Linked DNA regions of Rattus norvegicus. The protein of the gene in region 1 interacts with the protein of each later gene in a pairwise test. Links are inferred from orthologs where the notes say so. Each region holds a gene or a part of one and is shown on either strand. Other genes may lie near its edges.

Region 1 (3,813 bases):
GAGAGAAACTGAGGAAGATATGAGAAGATGGAAAGATCTCCTATGCTCCTGGATCAGTAGGACTGATATAATGAAAATAGCCATCTTACCAAAAGCAATCTACAGATTCCCATAAAATGCAATTCCCACAAAAATTCCAACGTAATTCTTTACAGACCTTAAGGGAGCAATTCTCAACTTCATATGGAAAAACAACAACAACAACAACAAAAACAACAACAACAACAACAACAACAACACCCCACCCAGGATAGTTAAAACAATCCTGAGAAAGAAAAGAACTTCTGGCAGTATTACCATCCCTGACATCAAGCTATACTACAGAGCAATAGTGATAAAAATTACATGGTATTAGTATAAGAGCAGGCAGGTTGATGAATGGAATCCAGTCAGAGACCCTGAAACAAATCCACACACCTATGGACACTTGACTTTTGAACAAAGGCAAAACCTTAGATGGAAAAGAGAAAGCATCTTCCACAAATGGTGCTGATCTAACTGGATGTCTCCATGTAGAAGAATGAACATAGATCCATATTTATACCATGGAGAAAACAAGTCCAAGTGGATCGAAGACCTAAACATAAACTCTAGCAGAAAAGAAAGTGGGGAATAGCCTTGAACACATTGGTACAGGAGACAACTTCCTGAACAGAACATCAATGGCTTAGGCTCTAACATTAGCAATTGATAAAAGGGACCTCATGAAACCGAAAAACTTTTGTAAGGCAAGGGCATTGTCAGTAAGACAAAATGGCAACCTACAGATTAGGGAAAGATCTTCACCAACCCTATACCCAACAGAGGGCTAATATCCAAAATATATAAAGAACTCCAGAAATTAGACAACAAACCAAACAACCCAATTATAAAGTGGGGTACAGAGCTAAACAGAGAATTCTCAATAGGGAAATCTCATATGGCAGAGAAACACTTAAATGTTCAGCATCCTTAGTCATCAGGGAAATGCAAATCAAAACGACTATGAGATTGATTCCATCTTGCACCTATTAGAAAGGCTAGGATCAAAAACTCAAGTGACAGCACATGTTGTCAAAGATGTGGAGCAAGGGGAGCACTCCTCTATTGCTGGTGGGAGTACAAACTTGTATGACCACCCTGGAAATCAAACTGGTGGTTTCTCAGAAAACTGGAAATAGTTCTACCTCAAGACCCAGCTATACCACTCCTAAGCATATACCCAAAAGATGCCCCACTACACCACAGGGACATTTGTTCACCTATGTTCATAGCAGCTTTATTCGTAATAGTCAGAAACTGGAAACAGCCTAGATGTCCCTCAACTGAAGAATGGATACAGGAACTGTGGTATATCTACATAACAGGTTACTCAGCTATTAAAAACAAAGACATCATGAATTTTACAGGCAAATGGATGGAACCTGAGAATATCATCCTGAGTGAGGTAACCCAGAGCCAGAAAGACATGCGTGGTATGTTCTCAGTTATCAGTGGACATTAGCCATGAAATGCAGGATAACCATGCTACAATCCACAGACCCAAAGAAACTGAGTAGTAAGGAGGTCCCAAGGGAAGATGCATGAATCTTACTCAAAAGGGGAAACTAAATAGTCATCAGAGGTGGATGGGAAGAGGGAATGGGTAGAAGAGGAGGGGAACAGATATGGTGATCAGGTACGGGAAGAGAAGGAGGTGGGAGATGGCTGGATTGAGAATGGAAATAGCTGAGGTTATCTCTGGTGACTCTCTGGAAGCCTGGGACAGGAGAGGATACAGGGAGTCTATGGGGCTGACTCTAGCTCAGATCCTATTAGTGGGAGATACTGAGACTGAAGTGGGTACCTCCTGTACTCAGGCAAGTCTTTCAGAGGAGGAAAGAGGACATCAACCTACCCACAAAACCTTCAACTCAAAATCCGTCTTGCTTACAAGATGTGCAGAGATAAAGATGGAGCAGAGACTGAGGGAACAGCCAGCCAATGACTGTCCCAACTTGAGACCCACACAATGAGAGAGCTAACCCGATACTGTTATTAATACGCTGCTATGCTTGCAAACAGGAACTTAGCTTAGGTATATGCTTAACTGTTGGAGAGGCTTGATCCAACATCAGATAGAGGCAGATGAGGAGATCCATAACCAAACATCAGGTGGAGCTTGGGAGTTTTGTGGAAGAGTGGGAGATACAAGTGAGCCAGAGGGGGTCAAGGGCACCACAAGAAGACCTTCAGAGTCAACTAACCTGGGACCATGGGGGCTCAGAGTCTGGGAAACCAACCAAGGAGCATGCAGGAGCTGGACCTAGAGCCCCTACACATTCATAGCAAATGTGCAGCTTGGTTTGAATGTGGGTCCCCTAAGAAGTGGCAGTCTTGGTCTCTGTTCCCTGCCATTGGATCCCCTTCTGATTACCTGGATTGCCTAGTTGGGCCTCAGTAGGAGAGGACATGTCTAGTTCTGCTGGGACCAGATGTCCTAGGGTGAGGCAGTACCCAAGGGAGGGGTTTTTCCCTTCTTGGGGCAATGGGAAAGAGACTTGTAAAGGTGGGACTAGGAAGAGAGGAAGGAGTGGGGGCTGTGACTGGGATGTGAACTGAGTTTAAAAAATGATTTTACTTTATGTGTACGTTTGTCTGTATGCAACCATATGTAATGTGCATCCCTGGCTCCCGAGAAGGGCAGACGAGAGCCTTCCGGACTTCCTGGAATTGGAGTTGCAGACAGTTGTGAGCCACACTGTATGCTGGTGCTGGAAACCAAACTCAGACCCTCTACAATAGCAGCAAGTGCTCTTAACTGCTAAGCCATCTCTCCAACACCTATGATGATGATGATGATGACGATGACGATGACCACGGCGGTGGCAGGGTCTGGCCTAGGATTTGCTATATAGCCTAGAACTCAGAGATTCACCTGCCTTTGCCTCCTGAATGCTGAGATTAAAGGTATACACCACCATATCAGCTCATTTTATAGCCTTTGTTTTCTTTCTTGTTTTCTTTCATTCTTTCTTTCCTTTAAAAAATTTATGTATATACATGCCGAATGCTGCCCCCTTCTCCTGGTAACTTGCCACAGGGTTCCTCCACCATCTTCCTCATCTCTGAGAGGGTGCCTCTCCCATACACCCTTACCTTGGTGTATCAAGTCTCTGTAGGATTAGGCATATCTTGAGGCAAGAAAAGGCAGCCCTCTACTGCATATGTACTGGGAAGCCATGGCTCAACCATTAAAGGCTGGACTCACAACCAAAAATATAGCTTTTCTTTCTTACAGTTCTTTATACTTCCCCAAAGCACTGCATGGCAGATCAATAGCAAAATGGACCATGTGGGCAAAATAAATCATTTTCAGTTTGGAAGAACTATGTAATCCATAACCCTTCAAGGTGGGAGACTTACAGGCCGCAGCTTGCCATACGAGGTGTCAGGAGTCTGTCTTGAGGCCTGTGAGAATCCTGGTGACTCAGCATGAAGGCAGTTTTCTGAGGGAGAGAATCCAAGAGGTTATGATGGGATAGTAAAGATGCCAGTGTAGAAGTAAGTGGTGAGGGGCAGCTGCCCAGAACTCTTACCATTGGCTGAAGGAGACCGGGGGAAGAACTGGGAGCTCCTCTTATCTGGACTGGGGTAAGGGCTGCTGGGAGGCTGGTCATACAGAGGCAGTGGAGGCAGGGATGTGTGAGGCTTGGGGGATGGAGAGACCTGCAGCAAAGGAGGCAGAGTTACTAGGTGGCCTCCTCAAGAGGAGAGCTTGGCTACTTTGCTGCCCAGCATGCCTTCCTTTTCTTTGGCACTTACTTATAACTAACTGTTGAGGGCCGTCAGCCT
Region 2 (3,913 bases), on another chromosome or scaffold:
CCTGTTTTATGAGGTCCTGGGGATCAAACACAAAGCCTCAGGATAAGAGCATTCTACCAACCAAGCTATAACCTCAAGCATGCTGGTTGCTTTTTTTTTTTTTTTTTTTTTTTTTTTTGGTTCTTTTTTTTCCGGAGCTGGGGACCGAACCCAGGGCCTTGCGCTTGGAAGCGCTCTACCACTGAGCTAAATCCCCAACCCCATGCTGATAGCTTTTTAACTTCAAACACCAAGACTGGCAGCATCCCCGTTGCAACAATACTTAAGCCAGATGAATGGGCAGTACAGTGTAGTCAAATGCCTTTAACTCCTGCACTTGGGCGGCAGGCAGGAGGTTCAGTAGTTCTTGGTTAGCTTGGGCTATCTAGGGCGATTGTCTCAAAAATTGTATATAGGGGTGTAATTTGAACGCATTGGAACAAGGTTTGACAATCTTGGGGGGTGGGGGGGCTGTTTTTTACAGACACTGAGATCCAGGGTGTAAGAAAATGTGCTCTGTCTGTAGGCCCAGGATGAACAAGAATTTATAAAGGCTTTCTTGTTCAGGTTTTCTGGAGGTGGGTGAGGTTGTGCCTTGTGGTGGTGGTAGAACGAAACGGCATCATTCTCAGTAACCTGGTTGAACACCTATGAAGTGTGAAGGAACTGAGGACAGGGCAAAGGGGCAAGGGGAAGGTTGGTCCTCACCAAGCTGATTCAACTAGCAGGACTAAATAAAACCGATAGACTGCGGACTGAGTTTCGAGAGCTGGCGTGAGTCAGCAAAATGCCGAGGACTAAAGGACTTGGTGGGCGAGCAGCGGCACGCGCCTGCGGGGAAAGTCTCCAAGCTGCAAAGCAGCTCTCTCCCACGATACCCTGAGTCTAGGCGGGACTCCCCTTGCAGCACCTCCTATGCTCCCCGCTATGATAAACCTTGGGTGACTCTACCACGCCCCTCGATACAACCTACACTTTGCAGACAGCGAAAACCCTTACAGGTGGTTAACGTATACGCAAAACTGGAACTGCGCAGGCGTAGAGCCTGCCACGCCTGCTGGACTCCGCGGCGCTTGCGTCCCGTTCCTCTAGGCCCGCCTCTGGGCTCACGCAGCCTCTGCTTTCTTACGTCATCCGTGCGCATGCTCCTTGGGACGAAGGGTGCGATTTCGGGGTAGGGAGGAAGGGCAAGGAGGCGGTCCTAGGCCTACGTCTCACCACGACTGCGCAGGCTGGATCCCGAGTGAACATGGCGACTTGCGCCGATATCCTGCGGAGCGAGTTCCCAGAAATTGACGGGCAGGTCTTCGACTACGTGACTGGTGAGCGAAACTGAATTAACTGCCTGGGGAGGTCAAAGTGGAGGTCATGGGGGAAGACTGAGGGCAGACAGTACAGCAGACCGCTATCTGGGCTCTCCTCTGCGTGACCTCTTATCTTGAGGGCCAGTGGGGTTTGGAGCCCCGAGTGAGCTGTACAGACACTGAAATTGCTCCTATATCCGTCCTACCCGGTGTCTGTCTTACTCTGCGGTACCCGGCCCAGGTGTTTTGCACAGTGGCAGCGCGGATTTCGAGTCTGTGGATGACCTGGTGGAAGCTGTCGGAGAACTCTTGCAAGAAGTGTCGGGGGACAGCAAGGATGACGCGGGCATTAGGGCAGTCTGTCAGCGCATGTACAACACTCTACGCCTGTAGGTGCCAAGGGAATGGAGTTGATGGGCAAAGGGAGGAGAATGGAGTACAAACAAGGGGGAAGGTCTGAAGGTTGTAAATCTTTTCTCCCAACTGACTCCGTTTTCTCCACCCCCGTAGGGCTGAACCGCAGAACCAGGGAAACAACCAGGTGCTACTGGACGCCCCCATCCAGTTGTCGAAGATAATGGAAAACTATGGTGAGAGTGAGGGGAGATTGAACTAGCTGCTTTCTGCCTTCCAACCCCAGCCACCTCGTCGCAGCGCAGGTCCCTCCATCTCTTCAAGGCTTGTAGGAGCTAGTGGTATTCTTGTGAACATAAAAGCTTGTAGAGAATAGGGGTTGGAGGGCTCTCCAAGCTGTTGTTGGTAATAGGAGGCATAGAGGCCTTGAAGCTAACAGACTTGGTTTTGCCAGTGTTGTGCCTTAACCAACAGCATGGTCTTAAAGGTATATCAGCCTCTGCTTAAATGTGAGGTCCTCTTGTCCTTTATTTACTTCAAGGCAGATAACCGTCTAGTCCAGTGTTATAATATTATCTTTAACACTGTTCCTGGTTCTTGTTAGTCTCTCAAAGTCTTCATCCCCTTCTCTCACGGAGAAGGTGACTGCTTTTCTTATCACTTACAGACTGTGACACCAAGCTTCCAGGACTGCTAAAGAGGGAACAGTCCTCGGTGAGGAGGAGAAGTGGGAAGGGGCTGTGCTGGGTGTGAGAGTTCACCATCTACTGAATAGTGGGTTTATTGAGATTTCTGGTGTGTCTTTGCCTGCATGTTTTCTTGTGTATCATCATGGGTAAGTTTTAGTGTTCGTTTGATGTGATTTCGGGAGTTCCTTTCTGAACCCGTACCCTAGTATAAACTGGCTGTGTTTGGAACTCACTCAGACAGTAAATGCAAAGAAACTAGAGAAGGCCGAAGCTCGACTGAAGGCAAAGCAGGAGAAGCGTTCAGAGAAGGAAACGCTGAAGACCAGCAGCCCCCTGTGAGTTTGGAAGAAGGGGTCTAAGCAGGAAGGAAGCAGGACAGGTTCTGGTATTGAAGGACTTCCAGAAGCCCTTCAAACCGTCCATTTCTCTTTTTAAAGAGTCTTGGAGGAGGCATCAGCTAGCCAGGCAGGCAGCCGAAAAGAGAGTCGGTTGGAATCATCTGGCAAGAACAAGTCCTATGATGTGCGAATTGAGAACTTCGATGTCTCTTTTGGTGACAGGTGAGGGAATGGCTGGTGACAGGATCTTTCTAACTAAAGTAGAACCTGGGAGCAGTGAGACTAAAACAGTGTTAAAGTTCCTTTGCTTCTGTTCCTGGACTATCGTTCATCTCTTCTCAACCACCCCTCAGGGTCCTGCTGGCCGGAGCAGACGTGAACTTGGCATGGGGCCGACGCTACGGGCTAGTGGGACGCAATGGTCTGGGGAAGACGACATTGCTAAAGATGCTGGCCACCCGGAGCTTGCGTGTGCCAGCCCATATTTCCCTACTGCATGTAGAGCAGGAAGTTGCTGGAGATGACACCCCTGCCCTGCAGAGTGTGCTGGAAAGTGACACCATACGAGAGGACCTGCTACGGCAGGAACGGGGACTCAGCCTCAAGATTGCTGCTGGCAGGTGAAGGCTTAAGCCTAGAGGGTACAAGTAGTAACTCCTGTCCTGCTTGGTTTGTGTTAACTCGACACAAGTGAGAGTTATTTGGGAAGAGGCACTTTAATTGAGACGATGCCTTCATAGACCGGCCCAGGGGCAGGCCTGTGTTGCATTTTCTTAATTGGTGATTGATGTGGGAGGACCCAGCTCACTGTAGACACAGTGACATCAGGCTCCTGGTCCCGGGTTCAATAAGAAAGCAGGCTGAGCAAGCAGTAAGCGGCGTTCCTCTGTGGCTCCGTTTCAACTCCTGCCCTGACTTTCCTCAGTGATGGAGTGTGGCCTGAAGTTACAAGCTGGGATGAACCCTTTCCTCCCGACATTGCTTTTTGTCATGTGTCTCTCATCACAACGATAGAAACCCTGACTAAGACTCTGTCCCTTAGATAGTGTCTCCATAATTCACATGACCTCCCTAGTGAGCAGCAGAACTTGGAATTTGACCTACAGAACTATAAAACCCTAACTGTCCCTGATCTCCAACCTAGGGAATGCAGGACACCTGCTTACACTACGTTCACGAGCTGGTTGGGTCTTTTTCCTTCCCAGGGCAGAGGGTTCAGAGGCCGCACTGCTGGCAGAAGTCTACACGA

Evidence for each region.
Region 2: the proteins of Fchsd2 (region 1) and Abcf3 interact in binary tests that used the Homo sapiens proteins (3 or more experiments, as listed by UniProt). The two-hybrid records come from large-scale screens. The link is inferred for Rattus norvegicus from reciprocal best matches to the Homo sapiens genes FCHSD2 and ABCF3.

The regions. Positions count from the first base shown.
Region 1 is NC_086019.1:165,087,144-165,090,956, reverse strand, and holds part of Fchsd2 (F-BAR and double SH3 domains protein 2), read right to left. Parts: intron 3,688-3,813; coding exon 3,558-3,687; intron 3,468-3,557; coding exon 3,385-3,467; intron 1-3,384. UniProt on the Homo sapiens protein: Adapter protein that plays a role in endocytosis via clathrin-coated pits. Contributes to the internalization of cell surface receptors, such as integrin ITGB1 and transferrin receptor.
Region 2 is NC_086029.1:93,853,824-93,857,736, reverse strand, and holds the start of Abcf3 (ATP-binding cassette sub-family F member 3), read left to right. Parts: upstream 1-1,141; 5' UTR 1,142-1,228; coding exon 1,229-1,301; intron 1,302-1,524; coding exon 1,525-1,672; intron 1,673-1,793; coding exon 1,794-1,873; intron 1,874-2,304; coding exon 2,305-2,351; intron 2,352-2,563; coding exon 2,564-2,661; intron 2,662-2,763; coding exon 2,764-2,886; intron 2,887-3,017; coding exon 3,018-3,284; intron 3,285-3,844; coding exon of another isoform or gene 3,845-3,869; coding exon 3,870-3,913.